Lytechinus pictus: one gene and its partner. The protein of the gene in region 1 interacts with the protein of each later gene in a pairwise test. Links are inferred from orthologs where the notes say so. Each region holds a gene or a part of one and is shown on either strand. Other genes may lie near its edges.

The links.
Region 2: the proteins of phosphatidylserine lipase ABHD16A-like (region 1) and reticulophagy regulator 3-like interact in binary tests that used the Homo sapiens proteins (3 or more experiments, as listed by UniProt). The link is inferred for Lytechinus pictus from reciprocal best matches to the Homo sapiens genes ABHD16A and RETREG3.

What each region holds. Positions count from the first base shown.
Region 1 is NC_087259.1:23,735,798-23,748,515, forward strand, and holds the start of phosphatidylserine lipase ABHD16A-like, read right to left. Parts: upstream 5,241-12,718; 5' UTR 5,147-5,240; coding exon 5,078-5,146; intron 1-5,077. UniProt on the Homo sapiens protein: Phosphatidylserine (PS) lipase that mediates the hydrolysis of phosphatidylserine to generate lysophosphatidylserine (LPS). LPS constitutes a class of signaling lipids that regulates immunological and neurological processes.
Region 2 is NC_087257.1:20,069,305-20,081,952, reverse strand, and holds the start of reticulophagy regulator 3-like, read left to right. Parts: upstream 1-7,304; 5' UTR 7,305-7,319; coding exon 7,320-7,393; intron 7,394-12,648. UniProt on the Homo sapiens protein: Endoplasmic reticulum (ER)-anchored autophagy regulator which exists in an inactive state under basal conditions but is activated following cellular stress.

The DNA of each region.
Region 1 (12,718 bases):
CAACAGAGTTCAGCGGAACAGCCAACGATCTGTACAGCTTACAGGGGACTCAATGGCCATATATGTTTATGTATTAAGTTCGGATAAAACAGGGAAGTGAACTTGCGCGACAGCCGAAGTCACTGTTTTTTCCCCTTTTAAGTTTATTTTTCCCCATTTTGGTGAATTTCAGGCCAAAACAGAATAATAATCTTTTTGACTTTACTTTATTTTGGTAGTTCTTTTTATATATTTTTATGAAATAAAGACAAAAATCGATGAGCCCCGTCGGGGAATTTGCATTGTTAAACCCCTAATCATGGTGGCTGCACGATAGCGAGCCATCTGTGTACGAGGAGAAATTAGAATAAAATTAAAAATGTTAAAAAACTCCTAAACAGACGGCTGCCAGTGCCAGCTGTCTAGCAGTAGCACGAACATCGCTTGAGCAAATTGAGGTAGCCATTACCTCAGGCGATGTTCGTGCAGGCTCCACTCCACTTCACTACCGCTACACTACGCTCCACCTACCCGAACATCGGGACAGTGAACTTGATCGGATATTCCGAGTCATAAAAGGTGGGATAGCAATCATGGTTATTGTAAAAATTAAACAAAAAAAATATAACGAGGGATATGAATTACTTAATATCTTACTCTACACCCGTATTTCACTCCGTGTCCATCCTCCGGTTATCCTCAAAATTTGTGATTTTGGGCCAGTAATTGCCAGTATCTTTCTCCTCACACGTATTATTCACGGCCGATTTCAAATCATCGCATGCGATCGCGATCGGTCGCAGGTCAAACCGATCGCGATCGCATGCGATGATTTGAAATCGGCTGTGAATAATACGTGTGAGGAGAAAGATACTGGCCCAAAATCACAAATTTTGAGGATAACCGGAGGATGGAAACGGAGTGAAATACGAGTGTAGAGTAAGACTAAGAATAGATATTAAGTCAATCATCTTTTTCGTTATATTTTTTTTGTTTAATTTTTACGATTATCATGATTGCCATCCCACCTTTGTGACTCGGTATATCCGACATGGTTCACGGTCCCGATGTTCGGGTAGGTGGAGCGTAGTGTAGCGGTAGTGAAGTAGAGTGGAGCCTGCACGAACATCGCCTGAGGCACTCCTAGTACCAATGAGGTCCAAACATTAGCATGTATGGACCTCATAGGCGACAATGCGTTAAAAACAGGTTAGAACTCCTAACCGTACTGTTTCCTGCACCCAAGTATGATATTACTCCCAAAATATGAGTTTTGTCCTCGTTTGTTTATCATTTATTAAAAGATTGCCCATTAAATATATTCCTATTCCTAATTTGAATTTAATAAAATAAAGGGAAACTTACATTTGAGTCATTTTTCGATCTTTTTTGGGCAGTCAGTCCGGTCACCGTCGAGTGCGATCAAAGCGGTATGAAGCTGATTTTCAGATCACGTGATACGTGTGGTCATCACCTGATCAATCGACTATCCTTTTTTAAAGACCGCAACAATTATAAATTTTATTATAAAATATATATAGAATAAATTATTGCATAATATTATGTATATTTCTACAATTAAAAAATATTTTGTGATATAAATTTAATATTTGACGTAAAAATCGCTATTGAACAAAATATTTATTAAAAAATAAAAAATCAAACAAAATAAAAAAGCCTTGGACACAGTGCAAAAAACCTAACGATTTGGCCGCGTTGTTAACAACTATCGTAAGGGGCGCTTTATTCATAAATAAAAAAAAATGTACAGCTGTCTACCGCAACGTGGTTTGTCGCAAGATTTGGGACAAATCCGTGGGAATTCTGGAGAAAATACATCAAAAGAACAGGTGAGTACCGTTTAAACATTAACAAATTACTAAATAGATTATACATACCTTGTAGATTTAGTTTTTAAGGTGATATTAGTGCTTAGTTCTAAGCTAGGGAGGCCCAAACGCGCGTGAGCGGAGTCCCACTTTATTAACACGGGTAAGTATTGCGGTGTCGCCTAGAGCACTCATGGGATCAATGCATCTCGCGTGCGAAGGATTCATATGCACATGTGCACGCAAATTTTCACACCCTTTTTACTAAAATAACTATGCCATTGCTTTTAAAATAATGTTTCTAATTGTGCTATGACACTTACCGAACCATATGGATCGTTTCTCTTCTTCTCTTTGGTGTGTTTTTAAGAAAAAAAAAGCATTTTCTCGTGATCTTCACGTAGATACCGCAGGGTAATCGTGGTTGTAAACTTTTGCTTAAAGAGGGCGCGCGATATTATTCACAAGATGTTTGTTTACGGTTCTGCAGCTTGTACTGCTAGCTGCATTTTAGACGCTCAGCATTATTTTCCTCTTTCTGTTTTTTTTTTGCTGTCAAGCGGTATTTTCTATTGTAGCGCCATCAGCGATGATGAAATGTAAAGAGTCGCCTTGAAATGAAGAAAAATTATGTCACATTAATTCGTTAGTTTGTTTCCTATTTTTTTGCACTTTTTTCTTCTTCCTCATCTATGATCAAAGGTGAATACCTTTTTTTTATATCTGTTCTAAAAGCTGGACATTTTAAATATTTTGTTCAAGTAAATAAATCAACAGGATAGTAATCAAAATGCGATAGAGCTGCCCGAGCTGAAAATTCTGATACAAGGACTTGAAAATAAAACATTCTGAGCACTTTTTATAACCATGATGAGGAGACCTATATATACATATATATATATGTATGTATATGAAATAAGCTAACACGAAAAAAAGACGTTTTGCGGACTGTTAAATAAGAATTCATGAGTGGGATAGGTAACTATCTATTCTATCCTTGTTCGTTTTCTATTATTATTCGTGTGTTGTGTTTATTTTTCTTGAAGCACCAAAAGGTGGACATGTCCGCTAAGATATATTAACGAAGTCATCATTATTATCACAAGCTAACGGATCAAAATGCGAGCGTGAAACGTGAGCTTCTTTTTTTCTTAATTCAGTCTTAACGATACTTTTTCATCATATTTTAAAGGTGAATCTCATGATTCAAAATGATAAATGCTTGTCGCACGGGCAGAAATAGCGGGACCAATAGTTATTTTCAATATTCCGAACTGCATTCTGGACGTTGTATAAGCGCCTTTGTATAACAATTAAAAGGGTAGGCCTATTTACCTTACAAATTATGCGAGCGCTGAACTTTTGGACATTTAAACCTCAACAAATGGACATTTTTAAAATATGAACAACATCATAAATGTCACTTACAAAAATGATGCCAGCGCGAAGCTCGCGCTTATAGAGTTTTTGATATTGATGACAGGACTGTATCTAAATGAAAAATAATGCGAGGGCATTTGCGCTTAAGATTTAAATTTGGGATTTGAAAAGTCCGACAGATTACCTATACTTTTAAAAGAGGAATGACCTCCAGAATTCAAGCGCGAAGCGCCAGTAGATTTATGTTGAAGTTTAGACCTAGAACAGGGACGTTGAACCTTTATTTAATCATGAAAAAGATGGTATTTCTATAAATAAAACATGGGAGTCTAATTTTGTTTTAGTGTTAATATTCAGATCTTCAAACTTGACATTTTCCTATCCCCTTCATCATCCCCTCTCCTTCTCCCTTTCCCCATTTTCGTTCTCCCTTCTTTTCTTCTCTCCCTTTCCCTTCCCTTTTTCGCTTTTCCTTTCCCTTCTTTTATTTCCTTTCTCCCTCCCCTACTCTTTTCTTGCTCTTTCCATTTTTCTTTCCCTCTCCCTTCCCCTCTTCCTTTCTTTTGTTTTCTTTCTATTTTATGGTCTCCTTTTCCCTCTCTCTCCTTTACCTTTCCCCCTCCCCTGATCTGTCTTTCATTGTCTCTCCTTTCCTTTACCGCCCCCTCCATTCCCTTTCTCGCTTTTTCCTTTCCCTTCTTTTCTTTCCTTTCTCCCTCCCCTACGACTTGAATCGAGAATGTTCGATAGGAAAATTTCGCATTTCGATTGTTGTTTGCGTAATTTCCACCGCAATATGAGGATAACCAAGGACGGATCGAACGAAGTATCCTGGTTGAGATTTGGAGGTAAGCGATAAAAACACCTTAATAAATAATTTAGAATTCCTTTTTCAAATAATACGATCAAGATTAACATAGTGGACAAATATTGAAAGGCTTGGCGTAGTTTAGTCCCTCACATTCGTGTGATGAATGAAAACGTCAAAATGCACTATGAAATCACATGTGTTGTGCGAGGTTAGTAATACTAACCTCGCATGTTGTGTGAGTGCGCCTAGAGTAGGGTGTCTGAAGCCACACTGAAAAGTGTCAGCATAAAACAGGCTAATTTAGGGGAAAATATGGCACATTTTTTCGGGGAAGTTCAGGCTACTAGAAAAATGTGATCTGAATTGATTATTAACTTGTGTTTGGCATGTATGGAAAGAGAAAATTCAGGGGCTTCTTTTGACAGTAAGGACAAGTTTATATGATCATTTTAAATAAGGATTTAGAGATAAATTGCAAACCCTTATTTTTGTGTGTGTTGAGATTGCCATTCCTCCATGCGTTTTCTATGGGAAAATGAAATTTCTGTTTTGCACAATTTTTTTCACTTTGTCACAATTTTTCATTGTGATCTGGTTTCCAAATCTTTATAAAAATCATACCATCAGATAGAGCATAAAAAATTCTATTGGACTCTTTATGGACAAGTTTTTGGCATTAATAATAAATTTATAACAGCTCTCGGAAGCTAAAAAATTTGGATTTGTGTGTGTCCATTTCTTAACTACACAGTCTATGACTATGGCAGAGAAATGCTGAAAATTTACCTAATTTCATTCTTCTTTTTTGCAGCCAATAATTGGATTTTTTTCAAAAATTTTACATTTCTGTCAGTCTGAAGGTCATTTCTCTTCAAATTCACAAAGAAAATGTGATATTTTCTTGAAATAAGAAAAATATTTTTTTTCTCCAGACACCCTACCTAGAGTGGCCTGAGGTAGGTAGCCATAGGCATAGGGTATACAAACACAGAACGCAGTATGTGGGACAATGCAGTGACCCGGTGTCTGGTCGATAGACGTGTAGGCCTATAAATATATAAATAGAACAAGATTTCACCTTAATCGTTCCATGAGAGTTCACTCTATACAGCCTCGGTCCAAGAATGCCACGGAGTAGTGAAGCCATTTTCCCTTCTTGCTTTAGGGCCTAAATAAAGCTTGTAAATGCAGACTTCATTAACCTCGTCTCAGAAGCCGCGACATACAGCATACCGGAGTGCGGCGCACGCGCACCGGGCCGAGATGACGTGATCGAGGGGCCGGGGCATAACGCATGATGGGGGCGGCACAATTGTAAACCCCCCCCCCCTCCCTCATAAGAACTGTTGCCTTCTCCTTGATCCCTTCTCTTCAGAAATTTTGAAGAGAAGAAAGGAAGGAAAAATGGAGCCAATATAGGCCCATATGCATATGCCCTGGTTTAATACGGTGTGCAATTAAATGCACGTACGCCTCGGCCCACTTCAAAATCATGGGGCCGCTACCGACCCCTTCCCTCAGGTGGCCTTATATTGCGCAGCAAATACATTCCTTTTTTTCTGGGAAACGTTTTATTTCGGCCTAGATATGGCTATATATGAGAAAATAATTTACCCCATTTTTTAAAATTTCTTTTCCCTTTCTCTTTTTTTTTCTTGGTAGTGGATCGAACATATCGTTTTTTTTTTTTTTTTTTTTTTTTTTGGGGGGGGGGGGGGGCTAGCTGACCCTAAAGGCCCCGCCCCCCTCAATACAAAATAAATCAATGATTTTACTTATAGGGAATTTAATTACTAAATCGCAATTCTTTCCTTTGAATACCAACGTCTACCAATTAAATATCAAACATACAGTTTGATGATTGCAGCTTTCTTAATTCACCCCAATTAAAGATAAAAATGTTTCTGTGTTCTGTTCATATAAATTTCATACATTTATATTCACGCTCGACGTGACGTACGTCACAGAATATGGTGATTTGCATAAAAAGAGAAAATATAAAAGATATAGGTCATATATACTGTACATCTCTATCAAGCAAGTGTAAAATATGCTGAACATTTCATGTAAAATAAAAAAAATAATGACCCCAAATTCCTTTTATTTTACAAAACAGTGCACAACATAGGTGAATGAGATCCTGGAGATATGATGATGTGATGTGCACACTCACTTTTTTTGCAAATTTGACAGGCAGCTCTTCACGAAATAATATGTTGCAACAAAAGCGATTCCACACGCACAAGAATAAGAATTAAACTTTTAATATTTCAATCTCATCATATAAATAATTTCATACATGGAAAAACAAAAATCGTGAGTGATCGATCGAGTATTATTCCGGTGAAACAGTTCTCGGCATGTCTTCATGAATATTCATAAGGTGGGCTGATGATTTCATATCCCCACTTTCACTATCCCCATCATAAAGGAGAAACATCATTTAAACATTTATGAAAAAATGAAACAATTATGATTTCATGCAATAACATAAGAAATGGGGAAAGTGCGTGGATGTGACATCATCACATTAGGAAATGTCTTATTCAAAGTTATCAATTAACACCCCAATTTCGAATTCCTAACCCGATCACAAACGGCCCATCCCTCCTTTGCAAGAATGGTAATCCTGGCAAACACACACTCGCCCAGACGTAAGCCCCCCCCCCCCCCCTCCAGGAGAAGTGACCCTCATTGCCTGGTAGCACTGGCAGGGAGAGGGAAGAGAGACATATGCAATAGTCCTGAACTACTTTTGTTTTACTTATTCTAGTTTCGCCAATTGTGGGTCATTTTGCATCGTTCAAACTTCCATTTTGATCTTCATCTAAATTTCGAATCGTTTTTGGATATGCCAATGTCCTTAAACAAATAGAATACAAATTAATTATTCCTAGATTTTGTCAGCCAGGAAGCTAGGAAGCTCTTAAAATTATTACGTAAGATGGACAGCTGCAATCGATCCAACTTCACCCGCCGCTGGTCATCTTTGGTTGCTGCGTGTTATCACTCTTATTAGCTGTACGTACCTCCCCAGTTTAAACGAGAGAAATGAAACTCTCCCAAAAACTGAAAGTGGTGTGGTAAATTGGGTTCCTGTTTTATAAGCTGCATGGTGGGGTATATTTTAAACGGAAGAAACACGTCATGAGCCCACCTAATGAATATTCATGAAGACTTGCCTAGAACGCCTGTTCCACCGGAATAATGCAAATCTTTAAAATTTGATAACTTCGTTATTATTTTGTTATTCGATTTTGATGAAATTTTCAGCATTTTGCTTTGTGAATTTTACGCTATTTATTAGATATATTTATATCTTTAGCCTGGAGTATCCCTTTAAAACGTCATCGGGTATTTGCATGTAAATTTTGTGAAAAAAATCATGACTTACTTTAATTCATGATGAAATTTTAGCGTTATGCTTGTTTTATTTTCCCCCTATTTATTCAAATAAACTTTTTTTTTTTTTTTTGGGGGGGGGGGGGTGAGAACCTGTGAGAAACGTCATCACTGAAGCTCAATTTCTATTGACATGCACAAACAGAACATATATGAAATTGCCAGTCAACCAGCTCAGTTTTAGCATGGATCCATGCATGGTTTTAGGAAGAGCGCCAGCTTATTACTTTCCTTACTTTCTCTGTCAAATTAGACCTAGGGCCATGGGGTGGTATTCTGAGATCCATTTTATCTCAGATAAAATAAAATATTTTATCTCCGTTAAAATCAGTGAGATAAAATACCCTTAAAATCTCTCCGAATTGGTATTCTGAGAACAATTTTATCTTCATTTTATCTCTGTAAGACACACCTATTTTTTAATCAATATCCAATTAGAAACGCGCTTTTATAGCTCTCTCATATCGCTCAACCAATGGAAATCCATTCCGCTAGGAGGTGTGGCGAAGGGAGTGAGATTGCGTCAATTTATTGACTTCAATACGCTTGCACTATACGCTTGCGCGTCTTTACAGAGATTTCTTTTTAACAAAAATGGCAATACTCTCATCTTTTTTTCGAAGTCTATATCGCATCTTTTCAAGCATCATTTCAAAGACAATATTAGTCAAGAATAGTCTTATGAAATGCTTCCTGATTGTACAGGAATATTTTCAAGGTGTTGTTCTCAATGAATATATAATTTTTCTTAATTTTCATGCCAACATTTGGAGTTAATTCACTTAAAAATATTGACGAAATCAACGTCGCGGAGATAAAATAGCCCCTACCCTCTTTTAAGTTTATTTTATTTTTTCTTCAAAGTAACTTGGGCGCAAGCACATCACCCGCGTTGCAATGGCCAGATACGCGATGGGTATGTCTACGCAGCCACTGCTAGCTCTGTTGCGTATCATCATAGATACGCAAGATAAAATTTATACGCAAGATAAAATTGTAAATCTAATCTGAGAGATAAAATGTCATCTCAGAATACCAATTTCATTTTAAGAGATAAAATAAAATATTTTAAAGATAAAATGACCTCAGAATACCGCCCCTGGTCTTTGACCTAGACTATACGATATGTACCGTCATTTCTAATTCTGGTACCTATATTCCTACTTTCGGAACGCGGTAAGGTCTGTTGAAATAAACTAACTTTACTGTTTTACTACTTGAATTGATAATGTGAATGTTACTAGGGTACTGAACAAGAAATCGACCAATGGCCCATAAACTTTTATTCTATATGACTCAGCTAGCTTTTTTGGTCGGGTCATTTTTCAGGTTCAGTCCCACTCGCGTGAAGCTGTGTAGGGGGCCTGTAGGGTATATTTGCGTCATCAATGTGTGGGTGTGTGCCCCGGTGCACTCTAGGCGACACCGCAATACTTACCCGTGTTAATAAAGTGGGACTCCGCTCACACGCGTTTGGGCCGCCCTAGCTTAGAACTAAGCACTAATATCACCTTAAAAACTAAGTCTACAACTTACAAGGTATGTATAATCTATTTACTACTTTAAATAATGTTTAATCGGTACTCACCGGTTCTTTTGATGTATTTTCTCAAGAATTCCCAACGATTTGTCTCAAATCTCGCGACAAACCACGTCGCCATAGACAGCTGCATATTCTTTTTTATTTATAAATAAAGCGCCCCTTACGATAGTTGTTAACAACGCGGCCAAATCGTTACGTTTTTTGCACTGTGTCCAAGGCTTTTTTATTTTGTTTGATTTTTTATTTTTTAATAAATATTTTGTTCAATAGCGATTTTTACGTCAAATATTAAAATTATATCACAATATATTTTTTAATTGTAGAAATATAGGGCCTATATAACATTATGCAATAATTTATTCTATATATATTTTATAATAAAATTTATAATTGTTGCGGTCTTTAAAAAAGGATAGTCGATCGATCAGGTGATGACCACACGTATCACGTGATCTGAAAATCAGCTTCATACTGCTTTGATCGCACTCGACGGTGACCGGACTGACTGCCAAAAAAAGATCGAAAAAGGACTCAAATGTAAGTTTCCCTTTATTTTATTAAATTCAAATTAGGAATAGGAATATATTTAATGGGCAATCTTTTAATAAATGATAAACAAACGAGGACAAAACTCATATTTTGGGAGTAATATCATACTTGGGTGCAGGAAACAGTACGGTTAGAAGTTCCAACCTGTTTTTAATGCATTGTCGCCTATGAGGTCCATACATGCTAATGTTTGGACCTCATTGGTACTAGGAGTGCCCCGGTGTGTGTATAGTGATATTTGACGGCCTTGTAATTACCGAACGTGCTCATCATATTGATACCATCAGTATCATAGTCATATGCGTCAGAAAATAATTTCACATGCTCAAAACTTTGTAACACCTTTCCAAAGGCAAAGCAAATGAAACTAAGTACCGGTACATGAAGTAAGGCCAAGGGAACATTGAATAGAATTGTCAAAAAGTAAACAACACTCAATAGACTAGACAGGAATAACCGTCGTTTCTGGGGATTTATTCAACAATTTCTGACATTTTACTGTAATCCCTATTCACCTAGCCAGGCGGCTTCTTGAGAGTAAAAATCATTTACTAACGTAGGCTTACTCAATGAAGCCAGGGAGTCCTTCCTATTCATCAGCGTGTACCGCAAAAAACCCTGAAACTTTCGCCCCCGAGATTTCTACTTTCCTTCTAAAACATCTAGCCATAAATCATGTACATGGGATAAAACTTCATTTCCGACATTTCTACGCTCTCGTCCGTAACGTTGGGGAAGTACAATAAGAAACGAGATGGCGGCGTAAACATCGGGCAAGTCTCTTCCGTCTTTTCACAATATTTTTTCATTTTTTTGATGAATTCCTGTTTAAAAATAACAACGAGAGCGTAGAAATGTCGGAAATGAAGTTTTATCCCATGTACATGATTTAGAGCTAGATCTTTTAGATGGAAAGTAGAAATCTCGGGGGTAAAAGTTTAAGGTTTTGGGGTCCTTCGTGTAGGTGAATAGGAAGGACTCCCTGGCTTCATTGAGAGTAAGCCTACGTTAGTAAATGATTTTTACTCTCAAGAAGCCGCCTGGCTACATTCACCGACGGTAGTGTGTTAGTGCGAGCCTGCATGTGTAATCTGGTCGGCAATTCGGAGGACGGGTTTTGTCCAGATTTTAATTTCTTTTAGATTATAAATGACATTATATTATCTTGAACGCGAAGGCCCACTATTTTCGTTAGACTCTAATCTTTCTTTTGATACTAAGTAAGTTCTATAAAATATCAAAAATATACGTTACCGATGAGTTATTCCCCGGGTTATTCCTTATTTTTTAAATTTTCTGCCGGAGAGGAAAAAATGGCAGCCGTCAACGAGTTGTGCTTTTATCAAGGCTTTCCGATTAAATTTTCGATATCCTGGCCAATCAATGCGAGCGACAGGTTCCGAACGCACGCACATCTACAAGCGCAAAGCAGCGGCACAAATCGCGATATATAGCGACTGGTAAATACGTCTGTAAGGATGATGACGTCATCAAAGATGGCAACTTACGTTGACCAACGAAAGGATCGAAGATGACGATGTTTCGCTCATCATTTGAAAGGAATTAGCGGTAACTGCGGTCTTAGGTACGATATTTCTGAATTTAAATTTTTTTTTCATAAATATGGATGTGATTTCTTTTTCATAATGTGACATTTTATGTACAAAAAAACGATCGGAAAATCAGGTTTCCGCCGAATGTTAGATCTAACGTTTCTGCTAATATGTTCTCTGTACGTACGGGCCTCCAAGCTCTTCAGTCTATGTATTGGTGAGTGAGCCAACGCAGTTCAGCAGAACAACCAAAATACAGAGACTGAAGCTTTTGGTCTAACAACAGACCAGTCGAATAGAACACCTTTTCAAAGAAAGACTTTAGATATTCTTAAAATCATGAAATATGCCTCAATTTAATGGTTAAAAATAGCTCATCAGTGATTTTGTTGTTTTTTCAACTTTTCCCGTAGAAAGAAAACGTTCGGCAATACTAACATACCTTGTAACATACCTTGTTGTGGGCGTAAAGTTTTACCTATAAAACTTGTTTGCCCCTCTCCTCCGTCCAATTTCTTGAAGTCAGTAAAGTGGAAGATAGACTGGTACTGGTTATATGGCGATGTGTGGTTTCAGCAGGTAAAGGTGTTAATGAAAGCATGTGCAAGTTAGTGCTGCAAGTCAGGCGCCATGTTCGGGTTCGGTTCGGTTCGGCAAGGTTCGGCAAAAATTTGCCGAACATTGGTTCGGTTCGGGGTTCGGTAATGATATGATAGACTGATAAAGCTATAGTTCATTCAGGTATACGTAGCGTACCGGTAGACAATTTGTACTTGATTGACTGCATGTGCTCGCGTGTCCTCTGTCACATTAAACCATTTTATCTCTATCTTGTTGACATGAAACTATGAAAGTTATAGCGCTCAACGAATCAACTGTTATCTCGAATTTGATTATCTGATGACAGATTTATTGGGTAATTCACAGTTCTAAAATGGCGACTCTTCCTAGTCGTCCATACCTGGACCACACTTTGGATACTTGCCAAATTACCGGTAACTACGCCGCGCTCGCACTCGTACCAGCTAGGCCAGCGCATGCAGTCCCCTTGTAGCGGGACTCTGAGCTCATGAATATTTATATATACAGTCCGGCCAAACGTGATTGGCCATTGCATCACATACGAGGCGGCCAGCGCCAGTGCACTGAACTGTAGGCATTGTAGGGCCAGGGGCGTGTCGAAGAAAGTGTGCTTATGTAATGCGCCTTTCGCTAATTGGCTCGATGGGTGAACTAAACTACCAATCGCATGTGGCTGATTGTCGCATCGGTACATACAGTCACGTGCTTTGTCTGCTCGCGAAATTAACTCAGCTCACCGATATTGAAGGGCAATTACCGAGATTTCTATGATTTCATTGGTCAGATTTCATTCGACCATGATACAGACCAAGTGGGATGCAAAGTTTTACGACTGTAATGGGACAGGGGGAGTAGAATGATCATCGAATTGTTTATGGTTAATTTGAGAAGTTGATAAGAAAGGGAAAAAAGTAAAGATTGGGGGTCATTTTCCCCCAAGAGATGAATGTTTCCGCATGGCTTTATCTTCATTCAACTTTTCAACGAGGGGAAGGAGATCTTGCTATATGCTATACCGTAATCATTCATGAGTGTTTGATTTTTATTTTCATCTGATTGTTAATAATAAAAAATATAACTTCACCTCATC
Region 2 (12,648 bases), on another chromosome or scaffold:
TCGTATAGGGTCATGTGATTGTGTCATTAGGTCACCTACTGTGCATTACATGGTGATTTTTGCTTCTGCATCACCTTTTTAACTTCAAAAGTCTGTATCTCACTATACACCCTATGATAATAAAAGTATATATTTTCTGAAAGGAAATTTTTGTATGTACATGACAATGACATTGCTAATCTTTTTTTTCAATTAATTAACAGTAAAGACGAATGTTCTTGCTTTAATATGATACCAAATTTTTAGTAGGAAGTCAAGTTTTATAAAAAAAGAAATATTGATGTTTTACCCAAAATGGCACAAAATATTGAGAATCCCTATTGACTTTGTACAGGTCGCATTGCTTCCAGCGGCACTGCTTCCGGCACTACCCTTGGTGCTCTGTCTTTAAAGACGTGTAACTCAAGTTTATTTATCACCATCATCATCATCTGGTATACGGGAGTGATATAATCCTGTTTATCTCCCGGTCATAGACGAGGTCATAATGGTTAACAAATTGCAAAGTGATACATGATGCGTGTGTACGTAGAGCAATGAAACTTTCTAGGTTATTAGCCAATGAATTCAGCTTTAAAATGATACCAAACTTGTTGGCATAGCTACTTTGTTTTTAAAAATATTTAGGAGTAACTTGACAAATTAACAAAATATGTAACAGCACCACGCTTTTTTGGTGGGCGACCTCATGATACATGGCCATAGAGTAACACGTAGTAAGGCAAGGTTAGGTGATGCACGCAAAAGCAAGGTAAATCTTGGTTAAACAAATTAGTAAAGCTGCATCTGCTTGTGTAATCTACTCATTTTTGCTCGTCCTTGCGATTGCTTGTTACTACTTATCCAATACGCAACTGATTGCAAGCCCGGGGTCCGTTGCAGAAAGAGTTGCGTTTAACACAAGTAAATAAAACTTAATCAATCGCAAGTCCCAATTGCGCGCTATTGATTGGTTGAAAATCAAGTTACGCATGATTTTTAGAGTTGGGATTGATTGTAACTAATTCTGCAACGGGCCCCTGGGGTTTGAGCCAGGCTTTTTAAGGATGTTTAGAAGTACCTCTGGTTTATTAAAGTCTGGAGATAAAGCCAAGCTACTCCTTATGAAATGTCTTTTATCTATAACAACCATTGTCAAATTTTTATCATTTTATAATAATGACTTATAATTTTTATTTCTTCATATTTTGTAGAAAACCCCAGAATTGTTTTGGATGAGGGGTTATGGAGGTGGATTGTGAACTTAAACCTTAGTTTTATACATGAGATATTTAATAGAAATATATTTGAATTAATTATGTTTCATCTTCATGATGTATCAAGTTTGACTAATATCACTATATCTTACAATTGTGATATTACCTACATTATGATACTTGATTTGCCTCTAAATGCAATTGAATTTGAATTTATATTAATGAAATAATTATTTGGATTTGTACTTGTGTGTAACTGAAAATAGCCATTAGTGACATCAGAATATTACAAGTCTTTAAATGATTGTATATTGTAATAGTTTGATTTCCACTATCTTGGATCTTGATTCTTACACGTACCTGCCATTTTGGCAAGCATAATATATATCGAGTCTTTCAATAATTTCAGGTGGCCTGAATTTAACAACTCTTTGATTCCTTATTCATATTCACAGAGAATGAATTATTCTGCTAATTTTGTATTTAAGATCATATGTTATTTTGATATATATGTATATGTGAAGTTATGTGTGCAGTACATTATGGCAACGCTGATATTTCACATTAGAACAACTGTGCTTGGTACTTACTCACCTTAAAATGGGTTTAAATTCTCTGAAGTAATCTCAATTGATATTTCGGTAAGTTATTAAGAAGAAAAATTATGCATCTTCATCCTGCAATAGAATACATGCCTTTTACGGTTCTCCAATCGCAAGGTATAATGGAATTGAATTCTAGTACATTACGACTTGAGCAAAACATGTATAGTCTCACATCAAGCAGTCTCTTTCCTTGTACATTACTTTTTTTATCGAAATCCTTGGATAAATTAAATAATTATTTGCCAAGAAATGAGTATACAAACAACCTGAAAATAGTGGTGTTAAACTGATCAAAACAACACAAAAAGTTTGGTCGTTATTTCTTTGTTTCTATGATTATGTGTTTGTTATGATCATTGTGTTATGAACTTCAATACAAGAGCCATTCATGAACTTAGGTTAATATCAGGAAACTTACATATTGTATTAACAAAGCTGATTTTTATAACTTTTCTGTTTCAAATTGAAAATTTCTACATCAACAAGCATAATCATGTAGTCTCTAATAAGTTACTTTCAACAAAACACTTGTCACAAGTTTACCTTTTAAATCCAAAAAAGTTTACTCAAGTGGGATTCCTATGTCCCGTGAATATCATCAAGTAGATGAACAAAAATCAGCATTGGATACTGTACTTGCACATTTAAGTAGATAAGATGACATACTAGATTTTTTGCAATAAGTTTTTACATGTATATTGTGGGTTTTTGTTATTATAAATCATTTGTCGTTTCTCACAGCATCTTGTCTGTGATTTTCACTTGCAACCAATGAGATGTAAGAATGTCAATTGTCACTGAATATCCTAGTTGGTTTTCACAAAGAGTTAAGTATGACTTAAAGTCATGCTTACAGTGCTGACGCGCACATGATTATTGAACATGCAATCTTATCGATTTTTACGCGGTAGTTCGCGTCCTCTTAAGCATGATATGACCAATGTGGTGATAGTGCAACTCTAAGGGGGTGTTGTAAGAAAATATTTGCGATCAATTGCAAATATTCTGTTGCAATTATACAACTGATAGATCAATGTTAGCTGTAGCAAATCATATTAAACTTCTTGTTTCAAGGAGCAGATTAGCAATCAATCACTATTTTGCTATTAACTGCAAGACATATCATTGATTGAGAGACCAAAAATAGACTTGCAATTGATCGCAAGTTTCTTGCAACACCCCAGAAGTCATACATATTTCTTTGTGAAACACCCCTTGACAGATTTCTTCATAAAAGGCTCCTAACTTAGTACACTATCTTGTTTTCATATTTTAGACAAAAAGTCTTTGTAATTCTGCTCTAGAGTATAGGTTTATGTCTGTATGTTATTTGCAACTGGTTGTATCCGCAAGAAGTGGAAATATTTTGAATGAAAACTCTCAGGTATCTATATTCGCAAAGGTAATATTGGCTATGTAGATATTTAGAAATTGTTTGTAAATTATGCTTATGATGCCTTGCATTTTAAGATAAGGGTCAGTAGTAATGGGGAAAAAAAGAAAATTTGATAAAGAACTTACGAAAAAAATGTTTCTTGTGGTCTGACTTCCATTAAAAGAATCAAGATGATCAATGATTTGGGTGTGACTTTTCTATGATATAAGTTATTATTATTTGATTAAGACTGGCTTGCTCACTTGCCATAAATAACAATGAGGCACCACCAAAAGTCACTCCTAGAATCAATGCGATTTCTGCTATTATGCAACATGAAAAATTGATGTATTCCTTTATTTTGGAGTTGTTGGTAACAAACAGCTATATAAAACAGTCATCAGTACCCCGTCTTACAAAGAGTTGTGATTGAACCGATCAGTCACAACTATGGACGGCCAGCAATGTCAACATCTATTATGCATGTTTGTTCAAAATATTTTCTAACTATGATGCATTCATTGTTTTCTTGAAAATTCACTGTGCTTCTCTTTGTTTACAAAGGACATCGTGCAAATTTCCTGTAAAAAAAAATTATGAAACTGATGGATTTCCATAGAGTTACGATTGATTGGATCAATCGTAACTCTTTGTAAGACGGGGCCCTGGGCAGCATAACACAGTGCTACCGATTATATAATCATTAACCTTTGTGTTTAGGGGGCCCAGGTCTGAAAAATGCCCTGACGCAAGACGATTATTTGACTTATGGAAGGTTGACTTGGACAGAGTTCACTGTACTATTTTGCTTAATCATGAGTAGAAATTATATTAGTATTCAGTGAGAATGCGCCTTTGGTAATTATACCGAATGATTATGTTCATATATTTTTTCTTAACTTCAGGTGTTTAGAGGTGATTCGTTTATCAGTACTTTCTTAAATGACTTTTTTTCTCTCTCTCTTGGAATGACATTAATAAATCTTTTTCAGATAAAAAAAATAATGTGTGTGCCTGGTGGTAGTGATTTTAGGAAGTATTTTCATCATTGTCCACTTAGTATGTATTCTCCATTGCTTGATATTTGCCAGAGAAAGAGAGAGAGAGTGTGAGAGAGAGGGGGAGAGAGGGAGATGAGCAAGAAGAGGGGTTCAGACGTAGAGAGAAGACAGGCAAGAGATTTATAGAGAACAGAAGGGGAAGACTAGAAAGAAGAAGAAGGAAAGAGAGCAAAAGATAGTATTCAGAATCAAATGCGGCATTGCAAATTAGTTACAATTTGTTCTTAATTCTGTTCTTCCTTTTACCTTCCCCCTTCCTCCCCCTTTTTCCTTTTTCCCCCTCTTTTTCACAACCTTTTCACTTTTCACAACCTACTGCCTTAATCTGCAACATTGGATAAGTACTAGCCAGTGAATTCGGATTTTCCGGGGGGTGGGGGTTTAAAACAATTTGAGGGTGAATTTGCCTCAAACCCCCATATTTTTCCCTGGATTTATTATTTTGAACCTTCTAGATCTCCATATTTTCATTTCAATTTGGGGTGGCTGTCACAAAAGGAACTCTTCCCCACATGAATTTCTTACTTTGAAATCTGCCTTTCGTAGTAAAAGAAAGGAAATGCCATTATAACAAACTTGCCCATGAGGTAAGTCCATGCAGTGGTCAGTTAGTAGATTAAATCAGGGTCTGTGCCTGCAGACTAGTTTTTTGTGGCCGAACTTTTTTCCCTGACGTCTGACGTCATATCATAACAAACGTTAAATGGCAAAATGGACGGGGATGACAATTTCGCAAGAGCCGGGACTTCTGGGGTCCCTTGTGCCCTTCCTGAAGATAAAATGAAGGAATTGGAGAGAGAATCTATAACAAGGGCTAGAGAGGAACGTCTTAAGAGCATTTTGAGCCCAGTAGAAGGTCTGGTGATGAATATTCAAAGTCTTTTGGTGTGGGAAAACACGCAACCAAGCGCTGTTCTGTTCGTGTGTGTGAACATCGTGTTTTGGTGAGTAACGTTAGTGCAGTGCAGTTGGTGAATTCGCTCATGTGCAACTACGGTAAACATATCTAGCCAGGCGGCTTCTAGAGAGTAAAAATCATTTACTAACGTAAGGTCACTCTCATGAAGCCAGGGCTTCCGTCATATACTTTTGTGTGTACCACCAAAAAACCTGAAACTTTCGCCCCCGAGATTTCTACTTTCTTTCTAAAAGAGCTAGCCCTAAAATAAATCATGTACATGGGATAAAACTTCATTTCCGACATTTCTACGCTCTCGTTGTTATTTTTGAACAAGAATTCATCAAAAAAATGAGAGAAATATTGTGTAAAGACGGAAGAGACGGGTAACGTTGGGGAAGAACAATAGAAAACAAGATGGCGGCGTAAACATCGGGCAAGTCTCTTCCGTCTTTACACAATATTTCTCTCATTTTTTTGATGAATTCTTGTTCAAAAATAACAACGAGAGCGTAGAAATGTCGGAAATGAAGTTTTATCCCATGTACATGATTTAGGGCTAGATCTTTTAGTAATGTTGTAAATCGGATCAAAAATCAGATCGAAAATCGGATCGGCAGTTAAGCTTCTAAAATCGAAATCGAATCGAAAATCGAATCGGCGATGTTTAGAAACAAAGGAATACATCATCATTTTGTTCGCGGTCGCGCGCATCTTCCTGACAAAGTCACAAAGACGAATGTTTAGGAATGGAAGTCGTTGACATGCGCGATCGTTTGGAACATGCTTTTAAAGGGTTTTGAGGCTTACCGTAACTGCTTTACAATAAAATGAGTTATTTTTATTAGAAAGATAACGAATGACGCATCTTCCGAGCAAAGTCGCAAAGGAAAATAATTCTCGTAGATCACAGGTCAATGAACGATCGGCGGGACATCTTTTATAAGTATTTTTATGTGAAGCTGAGCTCAGCTAAGTTCGCTCATTATAATATGTGATTACAGCCACGCCCAATAACCATTCCAAAGTACACCTATTTTGTTATAATAGCTTACTTGGTACATCAGTTCTGGGAAAAGTTAAGTCACGCCTCACTATCGATCTTTTTGTATACCCACCCACTCAACAATATCAGTGAATTACGCAATGCGTGCAAGCATTCACACAATACAAGTATAGTTTTGAGGCATAGCCGAGAATTGGAACCGCCCAGACTCAACGGGCTAGCGCAAAGTTCTTTACACTACCTTTTGGCATGTGCACGTGGTGGATTTGATTGACACTGTACGTTAACAGTGCTATTCTTTGAGTTGGCTCACTGGCTGGATTAATGACAATATATCATCGCAAGTATGGCTTACATGATACATACAACAGGCAACACATCCATACACACTGCTCTCAAACTCCCTTGCTATTATTCGTACCTAGGCCGTGTGTGCACTTATGGGCGGGATTTAAGCAGGGCATTGACTAGCATATACAACACATCCATGCACCCCAGCATTTATATACATTTCTCAAACTCCCTTGCTATTCATCCATTGTGTGAACTCATGGGCGGGATTATGACAAAAATTAGTGCAAGCACTAGCATACACAATACATACAATACATTCCTGCACCCATGCAGTCACATACAGCTCTCAAACTCCATTGCTATTGGCCATTGTATTCACTTATGGGCGGGATTTATCAGCATAAGCACTAGCATACATAATGCATACAACACATTCATGCACCCATGCAGTCACATACAGCTCTCAAACTCCATTGCTATTGGCCATTGTATTCACTTATGGGCGGGATTTATCAGCGTAAGCACTAGCATACATAATGCATACAACACATTCATGCACCCATGCAGTCACATACAGCTCTCAAACTCCATTGCTATTGGCCATTGTATTCACTTATGGGCGGGATTTATCAGCGTAAGCACTAGCATACATAATGCATACAACACATTCATGCACCCATGCAGTCACATACAGCTCTCAAACTCCATTGCTATTGGCCATTGCATTCACTCATGGGCGGGATTTATCAGCGTAAGCACGAGCATACATAATGCATACAACACATTCATGCACCCATGCAGTCACATACAGCTCTCAAACTCCATTGCTATTGGCCATTGTGTGCACTCATGGGCGGGATAAATGACAAACACAGTACAAGTACATGTTCCTTGTTTGTATTGTACAATACATTCATTCCAAGTTCCACTCCCACCATACCATTCAGCGCAGCTACCGGTAGGTCATCATAAGTAGGTCAACCTTTTATGAGTCATTTCTGACATTCCAGGAATCTGATTGTTCGAACTATTCGATTGTTAAAAAGCTCTAAATAGCTAGCACCTCCGCAAGGACAATCTTAAAATATGTTCTGACCGCACTGTAATTAGATCTACAGGTATGCCGATTTTTTTATCCGATTTTTTCCTTCAAGGGGCATGATCGAAGATCGGCAAGTGATCGCCGATTGTTGTGAAATCGAATGGAATCGGTTGCCGATTGCAAAATCGGTTACAAGCTTATCTTTTAGAAAGAAAGTAGAAATCTCGGGGGCGAAAGTTTCAGGTTTTTTGGTGCTACACACAAAAGTATATGATGGAAGCCCTGGCTTCATGAGAGTGACCTTACGTTAGTAAATGATTTTTACTCTCTAGAAGCCGCCTGGCTACACATATCAAGGAATCGTGGGCGCTAATGCAGTTTTGCACCCGCTGACTTCGAGAGAATTCCCTCACCAGTGCCACTACCAGTAAATGTCCATAAATGGCATAGCAAGACTCTCAATCAAATTTCAAGGACAAGTCAAAATAATGCCCACTCTTTTTCCGAATATCACGATTAGATCTCTACTCTAGTCTGCCGGCTCAATCGATCTCGAGGTGTCATTGACAATGCAAATGCTCAGTCGTGACGTTGATCATGTTGATTCATCAGACTCATCTCAGAGTTGGCCATGTTGGCTTGCTTGGCTTCGCCGTCGTTAATTTATGGACTGAAGTATATGATCAAATGTTCTGCCTGCGGCAGCTCACCCTTTTTTGTTCGCCATATGTTCCCATGATTTTGGCTGCCAATCTTCATTCCATAATATAAAACTTACTGCGAATCCAAGTGAAGCGAAATCTGACTGCATGAGTATTCGAACGGTGATGAGATCAAAGCCAAAATACAGTCGTTCTGAATCGTGATATTTGGAAAAGCTGTGGGTATATTGACCTTGAACTGTAATTGAGAGACTTGCTATGACATTTGCAAGCAGCCAATGGTGTGAAATTTGCTTGAAGTCGGCCGGTGCGAAACTGCATTAGCGCCGCAATGGCAATATCACCTTTTTGTTATGTTGTTTGTGGGTGCTAAATGCAGTTTTTGTTTGTCCTACTCTGAGCAAATTTCCCCAAGTAATTGTTCGCAACTGTCATAGCAAGTCTCTAAATCACATTTGAAGGTCAATAGTATACCCACTGATTTTCTGAACATTGCGATCGGCTCGATGTCGTTGCATTTGTGAATTTTCATTAAGACATCGTTTTGCTTTGGCTTTTTGCATGCTTTGCTTCACTTTAGATTTTGTATGGACTAAAATTGGCAACCCAAAAATCTGCCAGCAGCAGCTCACCCGTTTGTTCACCACATGGTAGAATGATTTTGGTCACTAACTTCACTTGGTCCATATCAAAATTACGGCGAAGCCAAGTGAAGCGATGTCTGACTGAGAATTTGAACGATGACATCGAGATCAAAGCCAAAATACAGCTGTTCATGATCGTGATATTCAGAAAAAAAGTGGGCATAAATGACCTTAAAAAGCGATCGTTTTTGGCGAGGGGTTATGGAGGTGGATTGTGAACTTAAACTTTAAGTTTGTATGATATATTTAAGATAGCCTGATCAGTGGGATATCTTGTAGGATTAGGAAATCCACAGAATATAAAAAATTTGTTGAACCCACCCGATCCCCACTTCAAACGGCTGTTTAAAGGACTTGAACCAATACATCTGTCATAATAAGTCACCAGAGTTTGTGGTGGAAGTAGCGAGGCAACCAACACGTGTACACGATGACATTATAGGTCTCCTGATTTGAAAGACTGAGAATATATTGCAAGCGCAACAAGAATGGGCCGTAAATTTGTGGAGGGGGGGGGATCGGTCCTTAAAAAACATGTGCGCGCTAAACATAGACAATATACATGTATGTGCAAAAACATGCCTGTAAATGAGCATGATGGAAATTGTTCATTCATTGGTTGATGAATATACAGCCATTAGTAGAATCGGAGTCAAATCTAAAAATTTGATGCTAATCTGGATTTTCGGAGACGAACATTAGGTCACACTTATGATTATTTTCGCAGGTACAATTGCATTTAAAAAATAGGTGATGATAAAGGATATAATCCATCCAGAGGCATGCTTACCTTTTATTTTTTAACGCAACAATATAGAGGACATTGTTTAGGATCTTTTCATAGGTCCATAGTTGTAAAGAAAGATCCAGGGTGCTACATAACTTTTTAGAAGCACTTTAGTCGGGCAAGTGAATTTCTAAATAGTTGGAAAATACTTGCCCGAAAATACATTTCACTTGTCCGAAAAAAAATCCTTCAAAATAATGTTTTACCGCTGCAAAAGAGAGTAATATGGTTTTATATACCATTGCCCCTTTCCTCTCTTTAGACGTGAACTATTGTACTCTGTAATTTTTTTTTCAAGGAAGGAAGAAAGAAAGAAAGAAAGATAAAGGGAAGGTGAAAGAATGGGTGAAGGAAAAATTGAAGGAGAGAAAAAATGAAAAACAAGAGGTGAATGGAGAAAAAAGAAAGAATAAAGGAAAGAAAAAAAGGTTTTCCTTCATTCTTTGAATTAATAAAGAAAAGAACAGGAAAGGAAGGGAAAATGAATTATTGGGTGAAAGAAAGAATGGAAAGAAATAAAAAAGGGGGAAAGAAAGTAAGAAAAAGGAATGAAAGAGAGAATGAAGGAAAAAAGATTTCCTTCATTTTTTTAAAGAAAGAAAGAAGGAAGGAAGGACGGACGGAAAGAAAGAAAGAAAGGGGAAAACGGGAAGGAAATAGCAAAAAAGGAGAGAATGAATAAGGAAAAAGAGAAGGAAAGAAGAAAATAAAGATTGAAAGAAAGGATGAAAAGAATGAAGTGAAGAGAGAATAAAAAAAAAGAAAAATAATGGAAGAAGGAAGGAAAGAAAGAAAAAAAGGAAAAGGTCAGGAAGGGGGAAGGAAGCAAAGAAAAAATAGAGAAAAGAAAAAAATGAAGAAATTTTAAAAAAGAAGGAAAGTACATATGTAAGAAAATGAAGGAAAGAAAAAAAATGAACAGAGAGAGAAAAAAGATCAGGAAAGAAAGCTAGGAAAGATGGAAAAGAAAGATAGATGGAACAAAAAAGGCAAGCGGGAGAGATAGAAGAAAGGATAGAAAGAGAGAAAGAAAGAAAGGAAGGAAGAAAGAAAGAAAGAAAAAAGGAAGGAAGGTAGCAAGTAAGGATTACTTACGGAAGGAAGGAAGAAAAAGAAAGAGGAAGAAAGCTCAAATTTGAAACAAAACAAAAAATGCAATCATCTAACAAAAATCTTGCTGATATTTGTTTAAAATATATTTTGAAAATTGTTGGAAAAATAAACGTTTTAGAAATGAATAAAATTTCACAGAGAAACATTGACAAATTTAAAAATCAAATGAATCATTGCGGCATCGTGGACTTGCACGCATCTTTCTTCCCACTACACCGATCACAACAACACTCAAAACAACGGCTGAAACTAGTAATGAAAACTCAATAACTTGCTCCTCCGATCACATCACCAAATCAGTAATCTGAGAATCCATATAAGTATAAAAAAATTCCTGCCGATTTTGTGATTATTTTGTTGGAAAATCTATTTTTCATGTGAGCTTGTTCACTTTGGCTTGCAATTTGAATGGAGGGATGTTGTTAACTTTGTTTTTTTCTCTCTCTCTTCTTTATTTTTGCATGTGAAGTATGGGGAAACTTTGTAAAATTTCATTTCACAGTGAGAATTTCGGGCAAGTATTTTTTGTCTTTACTTCAAAACACTTGCCCGACTCTAACTTTTACTTGCCCCGGGCAATCGGGCAAGCGCTTACATGTATGTCGCACCCTGATTCAGGGACATGCATGTTATCATAATGGTAGCATTATTAAGTTCATACTGTAGGTGTTTAAAAAGGGAAGAAGATATATATCTTCAAGATTCCCTTTTTGGAAAGGCCCAAACCAAGGCAAAGAGTCTCTCATCCCGTGCCGGTCTTCTGTTCCCAGTGCAGTGGGACGTGTTCATCGATTTCTTCGCAACATTTGGCATCTTTGCATTGCATATTTGTGATGTGTCATTATACATGTACATGTAATAGTATGGTATGTACAGTACAAGTAGCCAGACAATATTTTATTTTTTAAAAACAGTATGCAATATGCATGTATTTTTTTGTATCGAATAGTTTTATCTTTGTGAGATTGCTGTTGTTGGGAGAGCATGCATGCATGCATTGGACACCTAATGTACAATATTCCCTCCCCCGACCCCAATCTCAAGGTAACCTCTGTGTGCTGAAATAAAATTGGCAATGTTTTAGGTTACTTGCTCTTGATCTAGTGGATAAATGCTCAAATTTAGGCACAGTTACATTAGTTTCTACAGCAATTATTCATCTTGGCACAAAACTAGTCAATTATTATTTTTTCATAGATAAAAAGGGAGTTTGACATTTTTTTCTTTTTTTTACTTTCCATCAGTAGAGGGCATCACAAAGTAAATGCTGAAAATTGTAGATTTTGTGCGCTCAGGGAATGCAAAATAATAATTCCCAAGATTATGATGTCTGATGACTAAAATTATAAATGAAGAATAGTATTTTATTTGGAGTATGTGTTGCATTGATTCAAGTCAGTCAACACAGACAGGGTGGTTGCAGCAAACTGCAAGGGCCCCCCCCCAAAACGTCCCCAAAAAGAAAAAAAAAGGGAAAAAAGAGAAGAGAAAAGGAAAAGCGAAAGAAGGAAAGGGAAGAAAGGTAGCTTTGTGGGTTTTTCTTTTTTATTTTATTTTTTTTCTTAAAAAGAAACTCCTTCACTCTTGCTCTAAATTTATATACAAGGATTTTGCTTCCGCGCTGCGCGCGGTTAAATGATATTGCAGTTCCCCTTTGTTTCCCTCACCACTTCTCTAACCCTGTTTTTCTATTTTAGTTATACGTGTTTCTTGCCAGTTAAAGTTCAAATATATATATTAGGGCATGGAATTAGAGTAAGGATAGTCCGAAGTATATGAAGTTATTTTTTTTTTATTGGTCGCGCAACTTCTGGTCGGGTCGGCTCCGGGCGGGTAAAATCTTTATATCATTTTATGCCGTCACCTCCATATAGGCAACTTATCCCGCTTTTCAGCTCATTACTAAATAATCATAATTTGGGGCAAACAGGTTCCTAATTTAAAAAGAGGAAGGTATAAAATATT